6 linked regions of the Canis lupus familiaris genome follow. The protein of the gene in region 1 interacts with the protein of each later gene in a pairwise test. Links are inferred from orthologs where the notes say so. Each region holds a gene or a part of one and is shown on either strand. Other genes may lie near its edges. The genes, in order: RNF41, ASB6, UBE2K, VPS52, ISCA2 and C15H1orf109.

Evidence for each region.
Region 2: the proteins of RNF41 (region 1) and ASB6 interact in binary tests that used the Homo sapiens proteins (3 or more experiments, as listed by UniProt). The link is inferred for Canis lupus familiaris from reciprocal best matches to the Homo sapiens genes RNF41 and ASB6.
Region 3: the proteins of RNF41 (region 1) and UBE2K interact in binary tests that used the Homo sapiens proteins (3 or more experiments, as listed by UniProt). The link is inferred for Canis lupus familiaris from reciprocal best matches to the Homo sapiens genes RNF41 and UBE2K.
Region 4: the proteins of RNF41 (region 1) and VPS52 interact in binary tests that used the Homo sapiens proteins (3 or more experiments, as listed by UniProt). The link is inferred for Canis lupus familiaris from reciprocal best matches to the Homo sapiens genes RNF41 and VPS52.
Region 5: the proteins of RNF41 (region 1) and ISCA2 interact in binary tests that used the Homo sapiens proteins (3 or more experiments, as listed by UniProt). The link is inferred for Canis lupus familiaris from reciprocal best matches to the Homo sapiens genes RNF41 and ISCA2.
Region 6: the proteins of RNF41 (region 1) and C15H1orf109 interact in binary tests that used the Homo sapiens proteins (3 or more experiments, as listed by UniProt). The two-hybrid records come from large-scale screens. The link is inferred for Canis lupus familiaris from reciprocal best matches to the Homo sapiens genes RNF41 and AIRIM.

The regions. Positions count from the first base shown.
Region 1 is NC_049231.1:867,130-870,629, forward strand, and holds part of RNF41 (E3 ubiquitin-protein ligase NRDP1), read right to left. Parts: coding exon 3,383-3,500; intron 2,631-3,382; coding exon 2,495-2,630; intron 2,003-2,494; coding exon 1,899-2,002; intron 1,072-1,898; coding exon 720-1,071; 3' UTR 1-719. UniProt on the Homo sapiens protein: Acts as E3 ubiquitin-protein ligase and regulates the degradation of target proteins. Polyubiquitinates MYD88. Negatively regulates MYD88-dependent production of pro-inflammatory cytokines.
Region 2 is NC_049230.1:54,248,449-54,251,519, forward strand, and holds the end of ASB6 (ankyrin repeat and SOCS box protein 6), read left to right. Parts: intron 1-88; coding exon 89-197; intron 198-813; coding exon 814-900; intron 901-1,024; coding exon 1,025-1,692; 3' UTR 1,693-2,571; downstream 2,572-3,071. UniProt on the Homo sapiens protein: Probable substrate-recognition component of a SCF-like ECS (Elongin-Cullin-SOCS-box protein) E3 ubiquitin-protein ligase complex which mediates the ubiquitination and subsequent proteasomal degradation of target proteins.
Region 3 is NC_049224.1:73,290,153-73,293,652, forward strand, and holds part of UBE2K (ubiquitin-conjugating enzyme E2 K), read right to left. Parts: intron 3,409-3,500; coding exon 3,309-3,408; intron 1-3,308. UniProt on the Homo sapiens protein: Accepts ubiquitin from the E1 complex and catalyzes its covalent attachment to other proteins. In vitro, in the presence or in the absence of BRCA1-BARD1 E3 ubiquitin-protein ligase complex, catalyzes the synthesis of 'Lys-48'-linked polyubiquitin chains.
Region 4 is NC_049233.1:2,852,072-2,854,985, reverse strand, and holds the end of VPS52 (vacuolar protein sorting-associated protein 52 homolog), read left to right. Parts: intron 1-1,126; coding exon 1,127-1,238; intron 1,239-1,446; coding exon 1,447-1,565; intron 1,566-1,761; coding exon 1,762-1,908; 3' UTR 1,909-2,414; downstream 2,415-2,914. UniProt on the Homo sapiens protein: Acts as a component of the GARP complex that is involved in retrograde transport from early and late endosomes to the trans-Golgi network (TGN).
Region 5 is NC_049229.1:47,966,805-47,971,045, reverse strand, and holds the start of ISCA2 (iron-sulfur cluster assembly 2 homolog, mitochondrial), read right to left. Parts: upstream 2,801-4,241; 5' UTR 2,727-2,800; coding exon 2,656-2,726; intron 2,487-2,655; coding exon 2,384-2,486; intron 2,255-2,383; coding exon 2,139-2,254; intron 1,547-2,138; coding exon 1,372-1,546; 3' UTR 1-1,371. Other genes in the region: NPC2 (NPC intracellular cholesterol transporter 2 precursor), read left to right, coding at 3,231-3,312. UniProt on the Homo sapiens protein: Involved in the maturation of mitochondrial 4Fe-4S proteins functioning late in the iron-sulfur cluster assembly pathway. May be involved in the binding of an intermediate of Fe/S cluster assembly.
Region 6 is NC_049236.1:4,885,377-4,889,617, reverse strand, and holds the start of C15H1orf109 (uncharacterized protein C1orf109 homolog), read right to left. Parts: upstream 2,801-4,241; 5' UTR 2,512-2,800; coding exon 2,237-2,511; intron 416-2,236; coding exon 236-415; intron 1-235. Other genes in the region: CDCA8 (borealin), read left to right, coding at 3,207-3,303, 3,387-3,515. UniProt on the Homo sapiens protein: Part of the 55LCC heterohexameric ATPase complex which is chromatin-associated and promotes replisome proteostasis to maintain replication fork progression and genome stability.

The sequences.
Region 1 (3,500 bases):
TGCTGAGCACATCCACCCCAACAGACTAATCCCCTACCCCCAACCCTGTCATTCCCTAGTTATGAAAAAATGTAGGAAAGAAGAGTCACCTAGAAATTTTCAGCATCCCAACCTGCACACCTGCAGAACCAGCAGGAGCCTACACCTGTAAGGTGGGCCGGACAGGATATTGCTTGGCACAGAGGTCCAGTCTTCCCCTAAGGGGGCCAGTTACTGGCCTCATTGCTAATTTCTAGGGTTTTTGATTCCATCCCTACCATTTCTTCAGGATGTCTGCTCCCCAGAGCTGCCCTCTCATGCTGTTTAGTGTCAACCAGCCTGCCTGCTCCGATTCCCTGGTTTTGGAGGAGGGGGAACGATTAGATATTCCTCACTCCACCCTGATCCTCTAGAGAAAATGAATTCTTTGTGCTTTCTAAAAATATCTAGAACCAGGGACCCTAGGCAGGAAAACAGATATAGAGGTGGGGACTTTCCCAAACTGACTGAAAATTTACAGACATCTTAGGGGAAGAAATCAGGCAAAAGGAAGGAATCTGGGTTTCCCACCTGAAAGGTTGAGCAAAGTGCCCTGGGCCCTTCAGTGCCAGAAGAGTAGGGAAACGTGTGGCCCATGTGTAAGCCACGGTACTATGAATAGTAGGGAGGACTCAGGGACCAGCTGCTGGAGTGATGGGTTTTCTGATTGCCATCTCTTCCTGCTAGCCCGTCGAGATCTCCTATATCTCTTCCACGCCGTGCGCAAATATCATGACAAGCCCTGGTTCCTGCACCATGTCATCACCCATGTGCTGGTTCTCACAGGCCATCACGACAACAGCCTGCTTGCCAGGGATACGCTTGGCCACGTAGTTCTCATAGTAGCGCCGGTTCATCTGTCTGGTCTCTAGGGTGGCCAGACCCTGGGGCCAGCTACGCTCGTGGGCATTTTCAATCAGCTCGTTGACAATAGAGGCAGGACAGCCACTCTCCACCAGGGAGCGCTTGATTACAGCCTGGAGTACAGCATCTGGGGTTGAGATCATCCCTCCCCAGCGGGTCACTCTGGCTGGCTGCAGGGAGTTCACCCACCTGTGTGGAGGGGATTAGAGGTGGTCATTCCAGCTCATTCCCCTTCTCTGCATTGGCTTTTTCTCCTGCTCTGCGCTCAGCTCAACCCTGACCTTCCATTTTCCTTTTTCCATCACTGGTTCAGAAACTCCACATCTTTCTAGCTGGTCCCCTAGGAGTCCCAACATGTCACTCAGCAGATTAAACTCTACAAGTGAAGAGTTCCTGTCATCTTTCTTAGAAACCCCAATACATAGAACATACGTGCCTGGCATGTACTAAGTGCTCAGTAAATGTTTATCGGATGAAGCAATTATTCCTGTATACTGTGTCCCACACAGCACCATTTGCATTATATAATATACTGATTCACACTAAGAATTTAGTCTGTGAATCGTACACAACCCCAGCACTGAAACAGATTTTAGACTTTGCTTGTTTATGCTGCATTTTAGATCACTCTCCTGGATTTGCACTCACTCACTCCTCTGGGTTGTAAGCTACCTGACAATAAGGACAGTATTTCCTTCTTCTTGGCCCTCCCAGCACTCCACAGCCTTTTTTTTCCCCACAGCCTTTAACATGGCTTTGTACGTGTGCATACTCACTTAAGTCCAGATGAATTGAATCCTTGGGTAAGCTTTCCCTTCAATCCACCCAAAAGAATTTAAGATCCTATAGTGGTGCTGAAAGTTCTCTTCCTGTCCTTCATCCCAATTATCTGAAACGCCGTGGCCCCAGCCCAGCCCTCTTACTACCCTCCTTCTGCCACTCCCCGGCTCTTCCTCCTTTCAGGGCTCAGTGCCAGGACGTGGAGCAAGTGACTCCATGTCCTGAGTGACACTCACTCTAGGATCTCATTGTATTCAATGGTCTCCTCCAGGTTCTGAAGGTTGGGGTTGACACTGCGGATTGCACGCATGTATGCCTTTAACAGCTGGATATCTCGCTTCTGTGGGTGGGAAGGAGAATCAGAGAGGACGGTTAGGGTAGACAACAAATGGAAGACGAAAGTGTGTCTTAGAATGAGGACAGCTGAGAGATGCGAGGAACAACCAGACCTGTAAGCTTTACAAAGACAGGGATGGGACTGTCTCATTCCTAGTGTAACCCGAGTGCTTGGCGGGGACCTTCTTAGAGGGGGCATTTAATAAATGTTAGGTGAATGAGTAACATTGACGGGATGGAGAAGGAGAAGAGCTCCCATCCGATTCCCAACCAAGCCACAGGCGGAGCATCTGTTCACACAGACACACGAGCACAGGCACAGACCCACCTGCTCACACGGGTGCTTCTTACCCCGTCATCTGCACACACACGTGGCATGTACACACACACACACACACACACACACACACACACACACACACACACACACACACACAGTTGTCCACAGTTACCTGCACATGAGAGGCAGGTTCTCTCAATGATCTCTGGGCCCTACCTGCTCCGCCAGCTGGTGCTTGTGCTCAGCTGAGGTCTTCTCCAGCTCAGCGATGCGTGTCTGCTGCTGCTGTACCACGGAGCGCAGGTGCTTAATGCAGTTGTGGTTTGGCAGCTCATCTTTGGGCATCTCCAGGCTGCCACCCGGAGTGGGGAGGAAAGCAGAACAGGGGCATTCAATGGGTCACGTGGGCGAAGGCAGGAGATGCCGACAGGCTTTTCTCCTAGCCCAGGTGTCTAACATTCAGGCCTCCCTCTTATTTATTCCCTTCACTTCCTTCTCCCCAGCAGCCCCGCCCGTGCCCCCGCCCCCCATGCTCCTTTGCTCTCTACCTTCTCTGGGCCTCTTGCACTTTCTAAGAGTGTTTTATCTGCCACACAGCTCTCCTTTCTTCCTACAGATTCTGCCTATGTACCCATTCCTTCTGAGCAGCCCTAGATTCACAGCCCTAGCTAGACAGCAGCATTTAATCAAATATTTCACAGTCCAAAGAAAGAAAATAACAAGGCGCAAGGAACTATGAGAAGCCTCGAAATTAGAGCAGTCATAGTGACAAAGAAAAAGGAGTACTGGGCTGACGGGGAAGAACAGAGGGAGTCATCCCTTAGTTCTAGCACGCAGATTGGGACCTGCTTCCTCCTCTCTTTCATTCAAACAAGAGCAAAAAGATCCTAGTTGAAAAAGCATCACCGAAGTCAGATCTTAGGGCGGGGAGCCAGGGAGGCCAAGGACGCTCATTGCATACATTCACGCTCGGAGAGCTCCCGAGCTGGTGAGCAGGGGCTCTGGAGATGGGGGACTGGGGACAGGGAGTGTGGGTGCGGGAAGGGTGGTCATCAACCAGAAGGCCCTCATCTGTGCAGGGCAGAGGAAGGGAAGTAATCTCACCCGCAGCCCTGCTCACAGGTCACAGGCCGTTTGGGGTTGTGCTCACAGTCGCTGAGGTGAGACATGAGGTTGTCAAGCCGGACAACAGCACTACAGCCAAACACAGCGTTGTCGCAGG
Region 2 (3,071 bases), on another chromosome or scaffold:
CTGCTCTGAAGCAGGGATGTGGTGAGTGGGGGGCTATGGGCAGCCTCACAGGCCCCCAGGCCCATTCAGCTATGCTTTCTTGGCTCAGATCCATGAGAGCAGCCCCTTGGACCTGGCCAGTGAGGAGCCCGAGCGCCTGCCCTGCCTGCAGCGCCTCCTGGATCTTGGAGCAGACGTCAACGCGGCTGATAAGCATGGTGGGTGCCTCCCACAGGAAAGCAGGGCACCTGGCACCGGGTGCTTTGCGAGGGAAAGCCAGAGCACCCCAGGACAGTGGCTAGGTGTGCAGGCTAGATTTTGCTGCATTTTGCTGACCTGCAGAAGCTTTCAGGAAGTGGTGCAGCCATTGGCCCCACGCCAGCCCCTTGAGGTCTGTCTGCAGGAGGAAGTAGGGCATGCATGTGGTCAGATTCTGAGGCAGAGTTAGCACTTCTTGGCAGAGACTAAGCCCGGGTCTCAGGTAGCAGCATCTGCGTGTCCAGAAATATCCCACGTCTTCTGGCCACTCTGCTCTTGGTTCTGTGTTGGTGGAAAGGGAATGACTAGAAACCGATCACCCTCCACCTTGGCTGAGAAGTTGGTCCTTTTTAAAGTTTGCTTTCTGGGGGGTGCCCAGCTGGCTCAGTTGGTAGAGTATGTGACTCTTGATCTCAAGAGTTGTGAGTTCAAGCCCCATGTTGGGTGTAAAGATTACTTAAAATCCTTGAGGACAAAACAAAGTCCACTTTCTCATCCTGTGGTGTCCCCTGCACCTGAGGGGTGGTCCTGACCTTGGTTTCCTGGTCCACACTCCTCATTCTCTTCCTTCCATAGGAAAGACTGCTCTGCTCCATGCTTTGGCCAGCAGTGACGGGGTGCAGATCTATAATACTGAGAATATCCGGCTCTTACTGGAAGGAGGTGAGGCTGGTCCACAGGCTGTTCCCAGGCCCTTCTCTTTCTTCCCACCATTAAACATGAAGCATTACTTTGCAGGGATTTAAGACCTTCTCCTGTTTTCTCTTTTCCTGACTGGCTCTTGTAGGGGCAGATGTGAAGGCTACCACCAAAGACGGGGACACTGTGTTCACCTGCATCATCTTCCTGCTTGGTGAGACGGTGGGAGGGGACAAAGAAGAGGCCCAGATGATCAGCCGCTTCTGCTTCCAAGTCACACAGCTGCTCCTGGCCCATGGGGCTGACCCCAGCGAGTGCCCAGCCCACGAGTCCCTCACACACATCTGCCTCAAGAGCTTCAAACTGCATTTCCCTCTCCTGCGCTTCCTGCTGGAGTCTGGAGCTGCCTATAACTGTTCCCTCCATGGTGCATCCTGCTGGTCTGGCTTCCACATCATCTTTGAGAGGCTCTGTTCCCACCCAGGCTGTGCTGAAGATGAGAGCCACGTGGACCTCCTGCGCAAAGCTGAGACCGTCCTAGATCTCATGGTGACGAATTCCCAGAAACTCCAGCTGCCTGAAAACTTCGATATCCATCCTGTGGGCAGTCTAGCAGAGAAGATCCAGGCCCTTCACTTCTCCTTGAGGCAGCTGGAGAGCTATCCTCCATCCCTCAAGCACCTATGTCGGGTTTACATCCGGCTCTATCTTCAGCCCTGGCCTGTGGATGCGAAGGTCAAAGCCCTACCTCTGCCTGACAGGCTGAAATGGTACCTCCTCAGTGAGCATAGTGGTACCGTTGAAGAGGACATCTGACCACTCCCGGATGGAAGGGTGCAGGGTCTGGGCAGCTCAGCCTGCTGGTGGATTTTGGTACCTGTGGCAGCCTTAGGGGAGAACCTTCTGGCCATCTTCCGGAAGGTACAGGTTGGGAGAGGAGACTTGATCCTAACTGTGTACCAAGAACACAGGTGGAGCCCAGCAGCTGCGGTCATTCCTGTGGGAAAAAAACTCTGTCTTCCAGGGGGACTGCCCCCCCTTCTGTCTGCCAGAACCCCCAAGTCTCAACCACATTGGGAAAAGGGACAGGGTGTAGATTTGGGACAAGTGTACACCTCGTCTGCAGGGAGCATCAGGCAGGGTAGCTTTGAGTCTCTGTCCTCCTGAGAACTGTAGGAGGCTGGTCTGTCTTGCATGGGGCCCAACTAAAGCCAGAAGGAAGCATGGTAGGCTTGTGGGGGACAACCCTGCAAGGCCCTTCACTCCCAGCCTCTCCTCATGCTAGATTATGTCACATACAGAAGTGCTTTTGGTGGGCTAGGGAGAAAGCTGAGCTGACCCCTGCCACCTTTGGCCGTTCTGGGACCAGGTCACCCACGGCCCAGCCACCAAGGCACGGGACTGGACTCTGGTGGCAGCTGTCTGTGCCAAACCTGGGACCTTGGGAGACCATGTCTTCTGCTAAAAGCAATTCTGCATGACCAGAGACAGTCCTTTCCAAAATGTCTCACAATTTTGTGAGGGGTCCATCTGATGAAGAAAGCTACACTGCTGAAAGCTGACTGTACTGCCCAGGCCGAGCCCTCACAAAGCCGAGTCCCAGGCACATGGGCCCTTATGAATTGTGTAAATGCTGGGGAAGCAAGCTGAGGCAACTAAAGATACATTATAAAGTAAAACATTTCTCTTGGCCTTCAAGGTGACATTTTGGCCCCTCACCCTTCCCCAGCCTCAGATAAAGGCTCCCACTGCAGCCATTAAGAGGTGAGAAGCACTAGGGGACGGCAGCATCTGGTGGGGACAATTAACACAGCACTGCTGTCCCAGTTAAAAAAGAGTACCACTCCACACTGGCTAGGGCCTTCCCATTACAGGATTCACCCTTTTATTTTCTGACTGAAAATGCTCACCGAGGAGGAGCTGCCAGGCCCAGCCAGGAGTGAGGCTGCAGACTTGTAACGATCACATTAGGGACACCAGGGCTCCATCACCACACAGGCCTCAGAAAGCAAACATCCCCAGCAGCTGCAGGAGGTAGCAGGCCTGCCCAGGCTCGCCGTAGCAACAGGGTGACAGTGCCAGCTCCAGGCCCGGCTCCTCTCCTCCCCCCAAGGGAAAAAAGTCCTCTATGACCGAGAGTTCTCTTCCTCTTAAGGCAGCCAGGCCTACAGCTGGAAGGCCAGGTGGTACAAGGG
Region 3 (3,500 bases), on another chromosome or scaffold:
TGCAAAGTGTGAAACATTATACAACCAAAGAGAATTATCTGCTTCTAAAATTGTAGGGACAGTAACAAATGTGACCAACTTTCATATATATATTTTTAAATTTATTTATTCATGAGAGAGACAAGAGAGAAAGAGAGAGAGGCAGAGACACAGGCAGAGGGAGAAGCAGGCTCCATGCAGGAGCCCGATGCAGAACTCAATCCCGGACCCCAGGATTATGCCCCAAAGCTGAAGGCAGACTCTCAACCACTGAGCCACCCAGGCAAACCAACTTTCATATTAACCACAGCTCAGAATAGAATACAAGTGGACTTTGCTATTTTGCTGAAACTGTATTAATATACAGTGATTCAAGAAAATACCATGTGCAAAGGCTTTTTAAGAAAGATTTTATTCTGGGGGCACCTGGCTGGCTCAGAGGTAAAGCATGCAACTCTTTTACTTGGGGTTTTGAGTTCTGGCTCAATGTTGGGCATGGAGCCAACTTAAAGGAAAAAACAAGATTTTTAAGTAATCTCTGCACCCATCATGGAGCTCAAACTTACAATCCTGAGATCAAGAGTTGCATGCTCCACAGACTGAGTCAGTCAACCAGATGCCCTAATATGCAGTATTTTAATTTATACCATGTTTTGAGATGTTTATGAACCCACCATACAGTACTTTTAGTTTTTTTAAAAGATTTTACTTATTTATTCATGAGAGATACAGAGAAAGAGAGAGAGAGGCAGAGACATAGGCAGAGGGAGAAGCAGGCTCCATGCAGGGAGCTTGACGTGGGACTTGATCCTGGGTCTCCAGGATCACACCCTGGGCTGAAGGTGGCACCAAACCGCTGAGCCACCCAGGCTGCCCAGATAAATTTATTCTTAAATACTTTGGAACCAACATTACTTAATAATGGAAGTATATACATTTAAAGTAACTGTTCAATTCACTTTAGTATTCCTTTTAAAAGTACTTTACATGGGGATGCCTGGGTGGCTCAGTGGTTGAGCATCTGCCTTCGGCTCAGGGCCTGATTCTGGAGTGCTGGCATCCCTTGCAGGGAGCCTGCTTCTCCCTCTGCCTATGTCTCTGCCTCTCTCTGTCTCTCTCATGAATAAAATAAGTAAAATCTTTTGAAAAATAAGTAAAATTATATGTATTGAGTATTCTAAGACTGATATGCTTCTATTATATATTAAAATAATACATCTAGTTTCTACTTGTATTAAGAATTCTTGCGAATTCTAAACAAGGAAATATGTCAAATTATTGAACTGTTCTAGGAGCTGGAGAAAGTTCCATGTCCAGCCTCAGCCCTTGAGGCTCATAACTCCACAGGAAATCAAAGTTGAGACTTCAAGCCATGCCGACTACCAAAAGCGAACGAACAGCACATATATATAGCATGTAAAACCCTAATTCTAAGCACTCTGAAACAAACATTATATTAATAAGGATATACAGAAAATAAGGAGTGAACAGATTTTTTTTTTCAGATCTTAATTATTCATTCGAGAGAGAGAGAGAGAGAGAGAGGGAGGGGGAGAGAGAGAGAGAGAGAGGAAGAGAGAGAGGCTAGCCTGATACAGGACTCGATCCCAGGGCCCAGGATCACGACCTGAGCCAAAGGCAGATGCTCAACTCTGAGCCACCCAGGTACCCCAGAGCAAACAGCTTTTCAAGGGAAAGGAACAGGTTTATTAATAGGAACCAGGCAGAGGAAACATAGCAGACCAGGTGAACTGACGGGTAGAAATGAATGACATCTTAAAAAAAGCAGGAGTCCATAAAAAACGGGAGTCCGAGGAATAATAAGAATTTAGGAGATGAAGCTGGTTTTGTGGACAGTTAAATCATGGAAAAACTCTGCAAACCAAAGAATCTGGATTTACCAAGTAGGTGATATCCGAGCTTCTAATAAGTTTTTAGTAGTAAAGTAAGATTTCTACTTTAAAAAGCTCACTGCTATCAAGTAGATGAAGGAAGGGACAGCTATCAGAGCAGTTGAACTAAGACATTTTTTAAAATGTGAACTAAGGCCGATCAGAGAAGTATGAGAGATATTGGGAATGGAATCACCAAGAGAAAAGAAGGCACAGAGAATTTCAAGTCTGTGGCTTGGATACTTAACTAAATAGGCGATGGTATCATAGAAGGATGGTCACGTTTGCAGGATTTAAGATTTTTTTTTTAAGATTATTTATTCATGAGAGACACGGAGAGAGAGAGAGGCACAGACATAAGCAGAGGGAGAAGTAGGCTCCATACAGGGAGCTGATGTGGGACTCGATCCCAGGTCTCCAGGACCACGCTCTGGGCTGAAGTCGGCACTAAACCACTGAGCCACCCGCGCTGCCCTGAGGATTTAAGATTCTACATTCAGTTTTGGGAATGCTATGCTGAGGTATCCATGAAACATATATAACTATCCAGTTCTGAACAGGCTCTTGCACTCAAGGAGAGGTAATGCCTAAACATTTTCTCAACTTACAGGTGATAGTATCAGTGTAGATATGATCATCCATGTGACCATATACAACAGTAAAAGTAAAAGGAATGATGTCTAAACCAAGGAACTCTTTTTAGAAGGAAGAAAAGAAATAATTGTAGGAACTAAGAAGGAATAACTACAACTACCAAGATGAGAAGAGAGTAGTATGTTAGAAGTTAAGAGAAGAAAAAAATTCCAAGTGGGGGACAAAAAAAAAAGCTCAGTAAATCCTAATGGCGTAGAACAGGGTTTCTCACAGGACCAGATAAGTAAACAAATGGATGTGGCTGTATTCCAATAAAACATTATTTACAAAAACAATAACTCTAGGTGTAATTTGCGGACCTCTGCCTTGGAGATCACATCAACTGAAAGATCAAAACTAAAAAATATTTATTCCATCTGGCAATTTTAAGATCCTTGGTAACTTTTACACTATGCCACTTCAGTCACAGCAAGAGCTGGTTAAAATTACCAGGGAAGGATTATCACTAAATGGAGGGATGGATAGATACGCACATGATAAAGCACGTATAGTAAAATGCTAATCACAGAATCCAGATGCAGGTAGGAATATGCGTATTCACTATATAAATATTTTGACATTGTGTTTGAAAATTTCCATTAAGTTTTTTAAAAAGCATCATATACTCAAAGTAGTGTATTAAAAATCAGTAGGTTTTCGCTATTACATCTGACAAAATAATCTTACCATGAGAAAGAAAACCATTTCCAAATTTAGTCTTTCTAAATAGAACTATGCTCATGTGTTAACACTGCAAATCACTACAGTAGTAGAAATTCATAGGTAAGTACAAGCAAGTCTTACCTGATTTGCTACTACTGCATCTTGTGGATCATCCGGTTCTGCAGCTGCCAAAAGGGCTTGCAATGACAATAATACCGTGCGGAGAGTCATTGCTGCAGCCCTAAAAAAACAAAACAAGAAAACATCTCAGTTAAGAACATGCAGCGTGACAAAAGTTAAGTGATTTTCTGAATATAAAAACTACTGGAGCTA
Region 4 (2,914 bases), on another chromosome or scaffold:
TCTTGGTTCCTTTTCTGTCAATAGCCATCAGTGATCACTGCCTACATCCATGAACTAGATTTCCATAACCCTCAATGTCTCAAAATTTCCCATCTCATCTGTGCTACATTTTAAGTCATTTCTTCAATTATAAAATTCAATTTGCTGTATCATTCTTCAGGTATTTCTAATCTGCTGTATAACCTGTTGACTTTTTAAAATTAAAGACTTTTAATTTTTAAGTCATCTCTTGAAAGTTTCATTTTGTTTCAAGTCTGTCCATTCCTCATCTTGTTGAGTCGTCATCTTTGTGTCTATATTTTTAATTCTTTGAATGTTTCATACAGAACTCACAACTGCTGTGTATATGACAGTTTTTTTTTAAAGATTTTATTTATTTATTCATAGACACAGAGAGAGAGGCAGAGACACAGGCAGAGGGAGAGGGAGAAGCAGGCTCCATGCCGGGAGCCCGATGTGGGACTCGATCCCAGGTCTCCAGGATCACACCCCAGACTGCAGGCGGCGCCAAACCGCAGTGCCACCAGGGCTGCCCGTATCTGACAGTTCTGATGTTGGCAGTCTTTGGTATACCAGTCTAAGTCCATTGCTTATTGTTTATACTGTTTCTCATGGTAGTTTCCTTTCATATGTGTCTGACGATCTTTGAGTTCATTGCTCTGTCTTAATCAGGGGGAGTCATATGGGCCTAAAATGAGATTGAGGATATTTTTCTGTCAAGAGGATTTGCCTCTGCGTTTACGGTAGGCAAATTACTGAAAGACCTAATCCACCTCGATTTATGTCAGCACCCCTTTGAGGCTCTCACAAGAGGCCCAGGCTCCGCTTCTCCACTTGAGTCTGGCATCAGGCTCAGATTCCAGATAGCAGAGTTGCCATCGCCATTTGTCTTCTGGCAGCCTTGCCTCTCCCAGCTTCCTACCTTTCTGGTTCTGGCTCTGATCCCAATTACTTGTGCTTTGCTCCCCAGTTCAAGTTTAGTGTTTTGGGACCATTGGTGTCTTAAAGTATGTAATTTGCTCTGGCAATATTCTGAGGATCTAGTCATTCATGATGCCAGAAGTGGGAAAATGTCTTGATACCAGGACATTTGACTATGTGTATGTGTGTGTGCTTATTTCTACAGGAATTCATTGAAGAGTTGTTGTCTCCCCCTTTTGGGGGTCTGGTGGCATTTGTGAAGGAAGCCGAGGCTTTAATTGAACGTGGACAGGCTGAGCGACTTCGAGGGGAAGAAGGTATGCAGATGATGTGGTCAGGTGGTGGAGTTAATGGTAAGGGGAGTGGAAAAGAAAAATGAGAGGAGGCAGATTCCATGAGGAGGGGGTAGAGCAGGAAAATGAGATTGGATGTGGAAGAGGGCTGTGCCTTGGGGAGGACGTAAGGGTTAAAGATCACCTAGCCAAGTCCTTTTCTGAGACCCTCTCTCTTTGCTCCTGCCATCAGCCCGGGTTACTCAACTGATCCGTGGCTTTGGTAGTTCCTGGAAATCATCAGTGGAGTCTCTGAGTCAGGATGTAATGCGGAGTTTCACCAACTTCAGAAATGGAACCAGTATCATCCAGGTAACTTGCAGCTTCCAGGCCTCCCTTCCCTCCAACCCCTATCATTAGTTGTTTTCTCTGGGCTCAGCATCATCCAGGTGACCCATGACCTTCAACTACCAGCATGCCCAAAGTTCTGGATGAGCCCTAGCCTGATTCCTGATACCATCTCTAGCACCACTCCACAGCCTGATCTTTCATGACTTTCTCTGACCAGGGAGCTTTGACCCAGCTGATCCAGCTCTATCATCGCTTCCACCGGGTACTCTCTCAGCCCCAGCTCCGAGCTCTCCCTGCCCGGGCAGAGCTTATCAACATTCATCACCTTATGGTGGAGCTCAAGAAGCACAAGCCCAACTTTTGATGCGCCAGACCCTGGGATCCACCCGCCTTCTCCATGGACTTCCGTACCCCATCCCAGACTCTTCTTCATCTGGGGTTTCCTTAACAGTTGTCCACCTGCCTCCCAGGTCCTTGACATGCCTCACCCTGCCTCATCAGAATAAGCTGGATCACCTTGTTTTTGGGTTCCCAGGACCACTCCCCCCGGGCTTCCAAAAGCCTTTATCATTTCCCTGATTTCACCACCCCTTCCCCCACACCCAAGTTCTCTTCCCCCAGTAAAATCTTTACTGTTTCAGTCTCAACTCTTGTCACCATGGCCTGAGGTGCAACGCCTCAACTCTTGGAATTGGTGGCAAGGCAAGTCATTGATTTTTTTTTTTCCCCTTTCACTCAGTGATTTCTTTTCTGTAGCTTTTTGACCTAAGATCTCAGCAACTTGAACACTAACAAGACCTCTCCTGGCTTGAGAGTTACTCCAAGGTCAGTCTGCAGAAAACAATAAATATTTAATATGACATAATACTCTTCTCTCATTTCCTTCCTCCTTCTTCCTGGGGCCTTCAAGTGGCCCCCACCTCTGCTCCAGGATCACTTTTTTGTTCTGGCTCTCTCCTGGGCTTATCTCCCTTCTGGTGGGTGTCCAGAAGAAGGGGTACAGATAGTAACTTCTAATCTCTAGCTGCTTCAGGCCAAAGAAGTAGCAGCGTTGGTTTTAGGGAGGGGACTGTGTCGTGAGTAACCAGCCTGGTGGAGGAAGGTGGCCCCTGGTTAAAAATGGCAAATACCTCAAAAAAAAAAAAAAAAGGGCAGATCCCTCAAGGGCTGGGAACACGGTTGTACAGCCTCAGGCACTGTTCCACAGGCTACCTTGATTCCCTAACAGGGGCTTAACTTGCATGGGGGGCTGGAGGGCTGTAGCACTCACACCAGGGCGGGGGTGGGACAGGTTTGCAGCGTGCCTGTTTCATCTATTTCTGTGTTTGCTTCCTACTGCACCCCTACACCTCGTTTGAACTCAGACTCTA
Region 5 (4,241 bases), on another chromosome or scaffold:
CTGCATTTCCTTTTTTAATGGTAAAGTCTTCTACTGAATGACCTTAATTCCAATCCAGTTCAGAAATTTAAGTTTTTGCTGTAATGAACTTTTAGGAAAACAAAGGCTTAACCAATAATTTTTCCAGAATCAATTTGAATCAATTTGGTTGTGGTTTCCCCAACATAAACATTAATAAATCATTTGTTGTGATGGTGGGATTTGTCTTTTTTTAGTTGTCTGTCCACACAGTTCCGGATCCCCCAGCACTGTCACATACATGCCACAATTATTCTAGTTCTGTAGCCTAATTAAGTGCCATACCCAAACAATAACTTTAAAATTTAATGGACTTGGCTTTAAAAGCTTTTCTTTCAGTGACCCTAAAAAAAAGTTGCCAGGTTTAACAAATAAAAATACACAATGCCCAGTTAAATTTGAATTTCAAATAAATGACAAATAATTTTTAGTAGATGTTTCATGAAATATTTGGGACATAATAAAAGTTATTTGTCGTTTATTTGAAATTCATATTTAACTGGGCATCATTTTATCTGGTAATCCAACCTGAAAGAAAATCCCTAACTATCCATTATCTATACCAATAAATGGACCACTTCCTGCAAAGCAGGAGACCAGTGACATTTTACAGCATTAAGTGAAACAATGTATCCTAAAAAGACTCAGTCACTGAATGATCACAGAATCTTTAAGTGTCTGTGTGAGTATGGAGTATGGGGACTATTTTTCAAATGATTCAGGTTATCAGTGAGAGTTAGTTAGATCCAAGTTTTCTGGGTGGGCTGTTGGTTTTATGAATCTAGCACACAGGCTAGTAAGAGAGAAAAATATATCTACCCTAACAAATGGGAAGTGGAGAAAAAGAAGGATTTCAACTAGCACATTCAGAAGAGTGAGATGAAAAAAAGAATCTTCCCTTTGCCTTTCTCATCCTCTCTAGCCTAGCCGGTGTTCAAGCTACCCAATCTGTGACCCTGATCCAGAACACAAGTAAATAAGGACTTTCTTCAAAATGAAGCTTTTATACATAGCTATACACCTATATATAAGCAGCTGTGAAGCTCAGAAAACAAACTCCAAATTTTGGAAGCTTGGAGGCTCTACAGATTATACTGGGTGGGTTTCAACCAGTCAGTAGATCTTAGATCACAGCACCTGGAGGCTTAGCCTTAGAAATGTGTGAGTGGAATTAAATCAAGTGTAAAAGCTTCATATTCTGAAAATAACAGTGGCAAAACACAACATTCCTGGACTGAGGGAAATAAAATTGAGAGAAGGACATGATTGGAAGGAAACCTCTAGAATTCTACTAATCCCAGGTTCCTCAAACTGGTACAAGCGGTGGCAATCTCTGGATCACCTGTTGTTACATCAAAGTTTGATAGAGAAGGATGATCCACAGGAGCAGCCTTGCTGTGCTTGAGGATTGTTCAACACTTGAAACGAGCTTCGGATCAGTTCTTGGCTGAAGTCCACCTGGGCCCCTTTCACGAAGGCCAAGCTATCAGAGTCAACCACCACTTTTGCCCCACCCTGTTCAAATACCCTGAAAAGACAGGAGGAAAACATTAATGACGATCATAAACACCAAATACACAATATCCTCTGAGCCCCAAGGTGCACATCCTGTTGACCAAATACAGGTGAGGCATTCCTCATTACCTCTAAAACAGGTGCTGCTTTTGCTTTTCTCTGATCCAAAGAGTCAATGGAATGAATAGTGGTCAATGTTTAGGGACTTAGGACCTAGGCAGGCCAACTTTCCTCCTATAACATGGTTGTTCTGAGTCATGACAACAAATCTTCACTTGTACTCCCACTGCGTGAGAATGGTGGTGTTAGGCGTTCTTAGCAGATCCTTTATTTTTTTTTTGTTGTTGTTTTTATTTATTTATGATAGTCATAGAGAGAGAGAGAGAGAGGCAGAGACACAGGCAGAGGGAGAAGCAGGCTCCATGCACCGGGAGCCCGATGTGGGATTCGATCCCGGGTCTCCAGGATCGCGCCCTGGGCCAAAGGCAGGCGCCAAACCGCTGCGCCACCCAGGGATCCCATTAGCAGATCCTTTAAATTTGAAGTTAAACGTCCACTTTTATCCCTCCCACACGTTCTCAGAAGACCCACCCCTTCCTTCTTGCCTGTCGTCGGGGTTGATAACTGTATCCAGTGAAAATTTGTATTGGAATCCGGAGCATCCACCTCCCTCCACTTCCAGCCTGAGGAATTCTGACCCTTCGGTGATTTCCAGAAGCCTCTGAATTGAAGGAAAAAAAAAAAAAAAAAGATGGGGTGGGGGGTGGGGATCAAGAACGCCAGGCAAAGAGAGAAAGAAGGGGAGGCCAAGGGGCAGTCCCCGTACCCCGGGCAGTCGCCGCACGCCTACCTGGACGCAGCTGTTAGTGAGGTGGATCTGCCCTTCGCCGGCCTCGGGGCTGGAGGACGACGTTTCCCGACGAGCCTGAGGTCCGCGAAAGGCCGCGAGGAGCCTGCAGCGCAAGGCAGGAGGATGAGCCCCGCAGCAGAGGGACACCTGGTGGCTTCCACCTGGACAGCCTCCCGCCAAACCCTCGCCTCCCCCGCAGGCCTTAGTTTCCCCCTTAGACCCGGAGGCGCAGAACTTAACACCCTCCCCAAGTGCCTTTGTAGACGTGGTACCTGCCCCTTGCCCACGGAGTGACCGCCCTTAACGCAGCCACCGCTACAGACAACCCGCCGACGGCCGCCATCTTCCTCCACAGACTCTGCCCCTCGCGTCACTCCAATCCTCTGCTCCAATCCCCGGTCTCCACCCACGGAGACCCCGCCTCCGAGCACACCTATTGGGTGGTGCTGGAGGAGACGGGATTTGATTGGCTAGGGATGCTCTCACGACGGAGGGGGCGTGCCAAGAGGCTCGGGCGGAGCGCCGGGGCGGGGAGGGGGCGGGGAGGGGAGGGGGCGGAGCGCCGGGGCGGGGAGGGGGCGGGGCGGAGCCGGAGCCTAGCCGGCGGGGCCCGGGGCGGGCAGGATGGGCGGAGACAGCCGGCGTCTGGGCGGGCCCGAGCCAAACGCGGCTCTCGGGAGCCTGGAGCAGGGGGCGGGCCGCGGGCGGGCCGCGGGCGGGCCCAGCCCGGGTTACTGGTGACTGGTCGCCTGACCGGGATCCTCCCCTGGCCCACCCCGGCAGGTTATCTTGTGACTGAGGCGGTCGCTTCTTCCTCCCTGGAGCGCTTGGAACCTGTCTAGCCGCGATGCGTCTCTTGGTCGCCGCGTTCCTGCTCCTGGCGCTCGGCGCCTCGGCCCTGGCGGAGCCGGTGCATTTCAAGGACTGTGGTGAGTCCGAACCTGCCCGAGATTCCCGCGCCCTCTGCGGGAGCCCCCCCGAACCCTGCCCCGAGCCCCCGGGCTCGGTGGGGCGGGCCCCGCGGGCGGCGGGGCTCGGCGTGGGACCCTCCGGGAGCGGGCTGCGGCGGGCCGCCGTTAGGGAGCCGGTGCCCGCGGCGAAACCCGACGGCACGCAACTTTGTCTCTGTCCTGGGACGCGCGATTGGGGTCCCTGGGCGTTTCCTGGAGCTGGGCCTTTTGCTGAAGTTCTTGAAGTCGGTAGGGCCGGCCGTGGAAGGTCCCAGTGCTGCGCGGGGCGTGGGGGGTGGCGGGTGGGGGGTGTCACAACTTCCTTTTTTTGTATGCCCCTTATCTCGGATGCCCTCTCCCTCCCCACGCCGTTTGCTTTTCTTTTAAATTTCCCTTTTTGCTGGCAAGTCAAAAGTCCATTCTCCTTTGCATGATTTCTTCCATCACCGCTTCCTTTGAGCTATATGATTTTGTGCTTCTTAATCACTTTTTCCTCCTGGATATAAAACTCGTGTTGCCAATTACAGCTACATTTCTGCATAATAGGCAAAGAAAAGCTATAGTTCTTTTGAACTATGATATGTGATCCAAAGGAGCTTTATATTTTCCATGTATGCTGCCATTTTTCTGGTTGGTAGAAAATGTAATTAGCAGGCACAGTTTTACTATTTTATACTTAATAAAATAGCTTTACTTTTTTGGGGGGCCAAGACTGGTGATATGTGTATAAAGCACTGTAATATAAGATCCATAGATTTCTATTTATGCTGTTTTATGATTACATGAAATTCAATCTATCAGCCTTTTAGTAATGCAGTTGATGAGTTTTGGTGGATCTCAATTTTGTGTCAAGGTTTTCCCTGGGAAAGATGTTGCCTGGGGGAAACCGTGCCATAGTATTTTAGTGT
Region 6 (4,241 bases), on another chromosome or scaffold:
ATCTTCCTTAGGTCTTTTCTCAAATGTCACTATCTCAGTGAGGCCTCTCCTGACTACCATGTTTAAGATCACAGCCCCACCCTCGCCCTTCGCTTGCCCCGTTTCATTTTTCCCCAAGTTCAAAGACAATGAGAACTGACCTGCACTCTATAGTCGTATGCTCTCGTGAAAACTGAAATGAAAAACTTCCTGAGACAGCTCTGGATGCTGTCTGAAACATATTCGCAAAGGATACGCATTTCGATAGTGTCTCTCAATATCCTGCAACCACTCCAACATGTCAGCCACAGAGGGGCTCACCGCTGAAGCCCGCTGGACAGCATCAATGCCAATCGCGTCTGCGTGCTGCTCATAGACCTCAAACACTTGTTCCACGTGCCTGCTGACAACGTCACGCACCTTGAGGAGGGTAGCTCTGGGGGGAAAAGTCTCACATTAGGCAATACCACGAGAGGACCCTAAGGCAGGGGTCCTCAACCTCAGCACATGCACATTTCAATTTGGACGGTCCCTTGTGGTGGAGAGTTGTTGTCCTGTGCGTGTTAGGATGCTGAGCAGTATCCTCGGCCTCTACCCGCTAGATGAGAGGAGCAAACCACGTCAGGACAATCAATCGGGTCTCCAGACACTGCCAAACGTCCCAGTGGGAAAAACTGCTCTGGGTGCACAGAGAGAGACTACTGCAGATAGGAGAAGTTACTTAACGCTCAATCATGTATAAAAATGGTGTTGCTCACTGCACACCCTAAGTGCTCACAACCCTGAGACTGGCACGTAGAATGACAAACACTTGTTCAATGAATGAATGGAGTGAAACGGTTCTTGGGAGGATCAAATGCAATAATGCTTATAAAGTGCTTAGGGAAGTGCCCAGCTCACAGTGAGCATAATAGTAATAATATTCTTATTATTCCAGGGCGTGATCCTGGAGACCTGGGATCGAGTCCCACATCAGGCCCCCTGCATGGAGCCTGCTTCTCCCTCCGCCTGTGTCTCTGCCTCTCTCTTTGTGTGTCTCATGGATAAATAAATAAAATCTTAAAAAAAGGGGTATCCCTGGGAGGCTCAGTGGTTTAGTGCCTGCCTTCGGCCCAGGTCGTGACCCTGGAGTCCCGGGATCGAGTCCCACGTCGGGCTCCCGGCATGGAGCCTGCTTCTCCCTCTGCCTGTGTCTCTACCTCTCTTTCTCTATGTCTATCATAAATAAATGAATAAATCTTTAAAAAAAATCTTAAAAAAAAAAAACTCTCTCTCTTCTAATCTACAAAGAAACCAAGCCTGGTTCATTGCTATATTCCCACCACCTTGTGCGTGGCTTAATTACAGGTGCTCAGCTCTCTTGTACAAATGACTACAAAGAAGATCCCTGTACTCGACCTGTTCCCGTTAGCCTAGGGCACAGACCGTATACACTGGACACTTATTTTGCTCTAGTCGAGAAAAGGCCTATCCGCGCGGGGTGCCTTTGTCAGGGATGCATTCCCTTGCGATTCTGGCTCAGGTCATGTTGTCATGACGGATCGTGACATGGGAGCCCTGCATGGGGCTCTGCGCCCAGCTGGGAGTCTCCTTGAAATGCTCTCTCTCCCTCTGCCCCTTTCCCCACTTATCCCCTCTCTCTAAAAGGGAAGGGAAGGGAAGAAGGAAGGGAAGGGAGGAAGGAAGGAAAGTAAGGAAGGGAAGGGAAGGAAGGGAAGGAAGGGAAGGGAAGGGAGGAAGTGAGGGAGGAAGGAAAGGAAGGGAAGGGAGGAAGGAAGGGAGGAAGGGAAGGAAGGAGGGCAGACTGCACACTGAGTGCAGAGCCCCAGCGCCGGGCTTGACCTCACCACCTGAGAGCACGACCTGAGCCAAAACCACAGAGCCCAAAGCCCGACTGACCACGCCAGCCAGGTGCCCCTGTAAAACGACTTTGTGACAAGAGGTCCCATTGCGGGGAACCCCCGGGTGGCTCAGCGGGTGAGCATCTGCCTGCAGCCCAGGGCGTGACCCTAGAGACCCAGGATAGAGTCCCACGTCGGGCTCCCTGCGTGGAGCCTGCATCTCCCTCTGCCTGCGTCCCATGCATAAAATCAATCAATCAATCAATCAATCAATAAATCCCATTGCAACAAATGGAGAAGAGGCGAGGCTGCGACACCTCCTTCCCTTCCAGGGAAGGGGAAACCCCCTCTCCGACTGATCCTAGCTGCTTAGGGAGCCCCCGCGTCTCCACCCTCCCGCGCGGAGCTCTTCTTACAGCGTCTCCCCTAGCTTGTCCAACACGTCGTCGCCAGCCTCCAGCTGCTTGCGCCGCAGCCGCTCCCGCAGGCCCGGGAAGGCCCGAAGCGGGGGCGCGTCGTCCAGCCGCGCGACCTGAGCCGCCTGCAGCTGCTCCGCCAGGCTGCCGAGCGCGGCCAGCAGGGGCTGGCAGTCCCCGAGCGCGCCCCGCCAGCGGCGCTGCTGCTCCTGCACGGCGGGGAAGCAGCCCCTCAGGGCCTCCCGCACGGCGAGCAGAGGCTGGTCCTGCGCCATCACCTGCCGGACAAGCCCAGGCCGGCGGGCAGCGCCAGGCGGCCCAGGTGCGAGGGTTCCCGTGCGCAAGCGCCGTGTACCCCCTCCGACCCGGGGGCGGCCCCGCTTTCAGGTCGCAGCGCTGTCCCGAAACCCGGGCCTTGAGCCCGAGTTCTGTCTCCTCCCCTGGCAGCTCCGGTCGCCTTCCCCGAACCGGCGGGAGCCCTGGAAGCCCGCGGCGGCTAAGCGGGGGCGCCCACCGGGGCACCCACGCCCGGCGCTCCCTCGCCGCCTCTCCGCGCATGCTCCAGCGCGGCCGCCGCGGCGCAAACGGAGGTCGCAACGCGCGATGCCTTCTGGGGGCTGTAGTCCTACGGGCGGAGCGTCCTTGTGATTGGATGTTGCGGGAGCCTCCCAAGACGGCGACTTCTGATTCGTCAGCCGGTGGCGGTTTGAATTCGGCGGCGGCGGCTGCACGTCGGGTTCTGCAAGGAGCTGCTCCGTCCTTGCGGCTGCGGAGGCGGGGGTTCTCTTGGACGCTTTCGGCGACCCGCATGTACGTGCCCCGCGCCTCGTTTAAGCTCGGGCCTCCCCGGGGCAGCCTGTGCCCCCCGCTCGCCCCTTAGGGCGCCCGCCCGGCCTCTCCCGCGACCTCGGCCGCTGACCGCCCCCCCCCCCCACGCCCCGGGGGCGCCCGCAGCCTCCACCCAAGCGCCATGGCTCCGGCTAGGAAGGGCGGCAGTCGGGTGGCCAAGACCAGCTCCTTGCGGAGCCGGAAGCTCGCCTCCTTTCTTCGGGACTTCGACCGGGAAGGTAGGGGGCGCAGCCGGGGTGCGGGCGGGGTGGGGTGCGGGGCCCCGGGCCCCGGTTCACCCGCCCGTGTGCCCTGCCCGCAGTGCAAATACGGTCCAAGCAGATCCAGTCGGACACACAGAACCTCCTCAAGGAGATGGACAACCTGTACAACATCGAGATCCTGCGGCTCCCCAAGGCGCTGCGCGAGATGAACTGGCTCGACTACTTCGGTAAGAGCCGCTCGCGTCCCCAGGCCTCGGCCGGCGGTGATCACCCCCGCCCCCCGCCCCCCTGCGCTGCTTATTGCACTTCCCTGCTTCACCTGTCTGCACAGGACTCTGACGTCATCTGCCCCGCAGGTAGGCAGGCAGGCAGGCAGGCAGGCAGGCAGGCATCCATCCCCTCTAAAGGACCCCATACTGAATTCTTGAAGCTTTGCAGCTACTCAATTCAAGCTGTTCTAGGCCCAAAACTGCTGGATTGAACAGGTGCATGTATGTGTTCCAGGAAAACGTTACTTAGGGACGCACAGAAATGTGAAATTTGTGTGCATTTTTTGTGTCACAAAACGCTCTCTCTCACTTGCTCGCTCTCTCTCTCTTTTTTTTTTTTTTTTGGATAGTTTATCCAGTCGCTTAAAAACGGATACCTGAATAACTTGGTTCGTTAACCAGAGCTCAGATGGTTGGAGAACCCTAAGCCGTACTTTCTGCATCTCATGGAAACCGTCAGTTAAAAAAAAAAAAAGGGCAAATCAGATTGTGAAGCGCAAGGACTCAAGTTTTTCTGGCCAGCAGAAAACTGCAGCCTGTTCTCTGGCCCCCATGTTAAATGCCCAAGGACATGCGACAGGCTCTCGTTTCTGCTCTGGGGTGCCCTTACTTTTCCTCGTTTCTTTATTATTAGCTATTATGTAGGTTCCGTCCTGCATAGAAAAGCACGTTGTGTTCAAATTG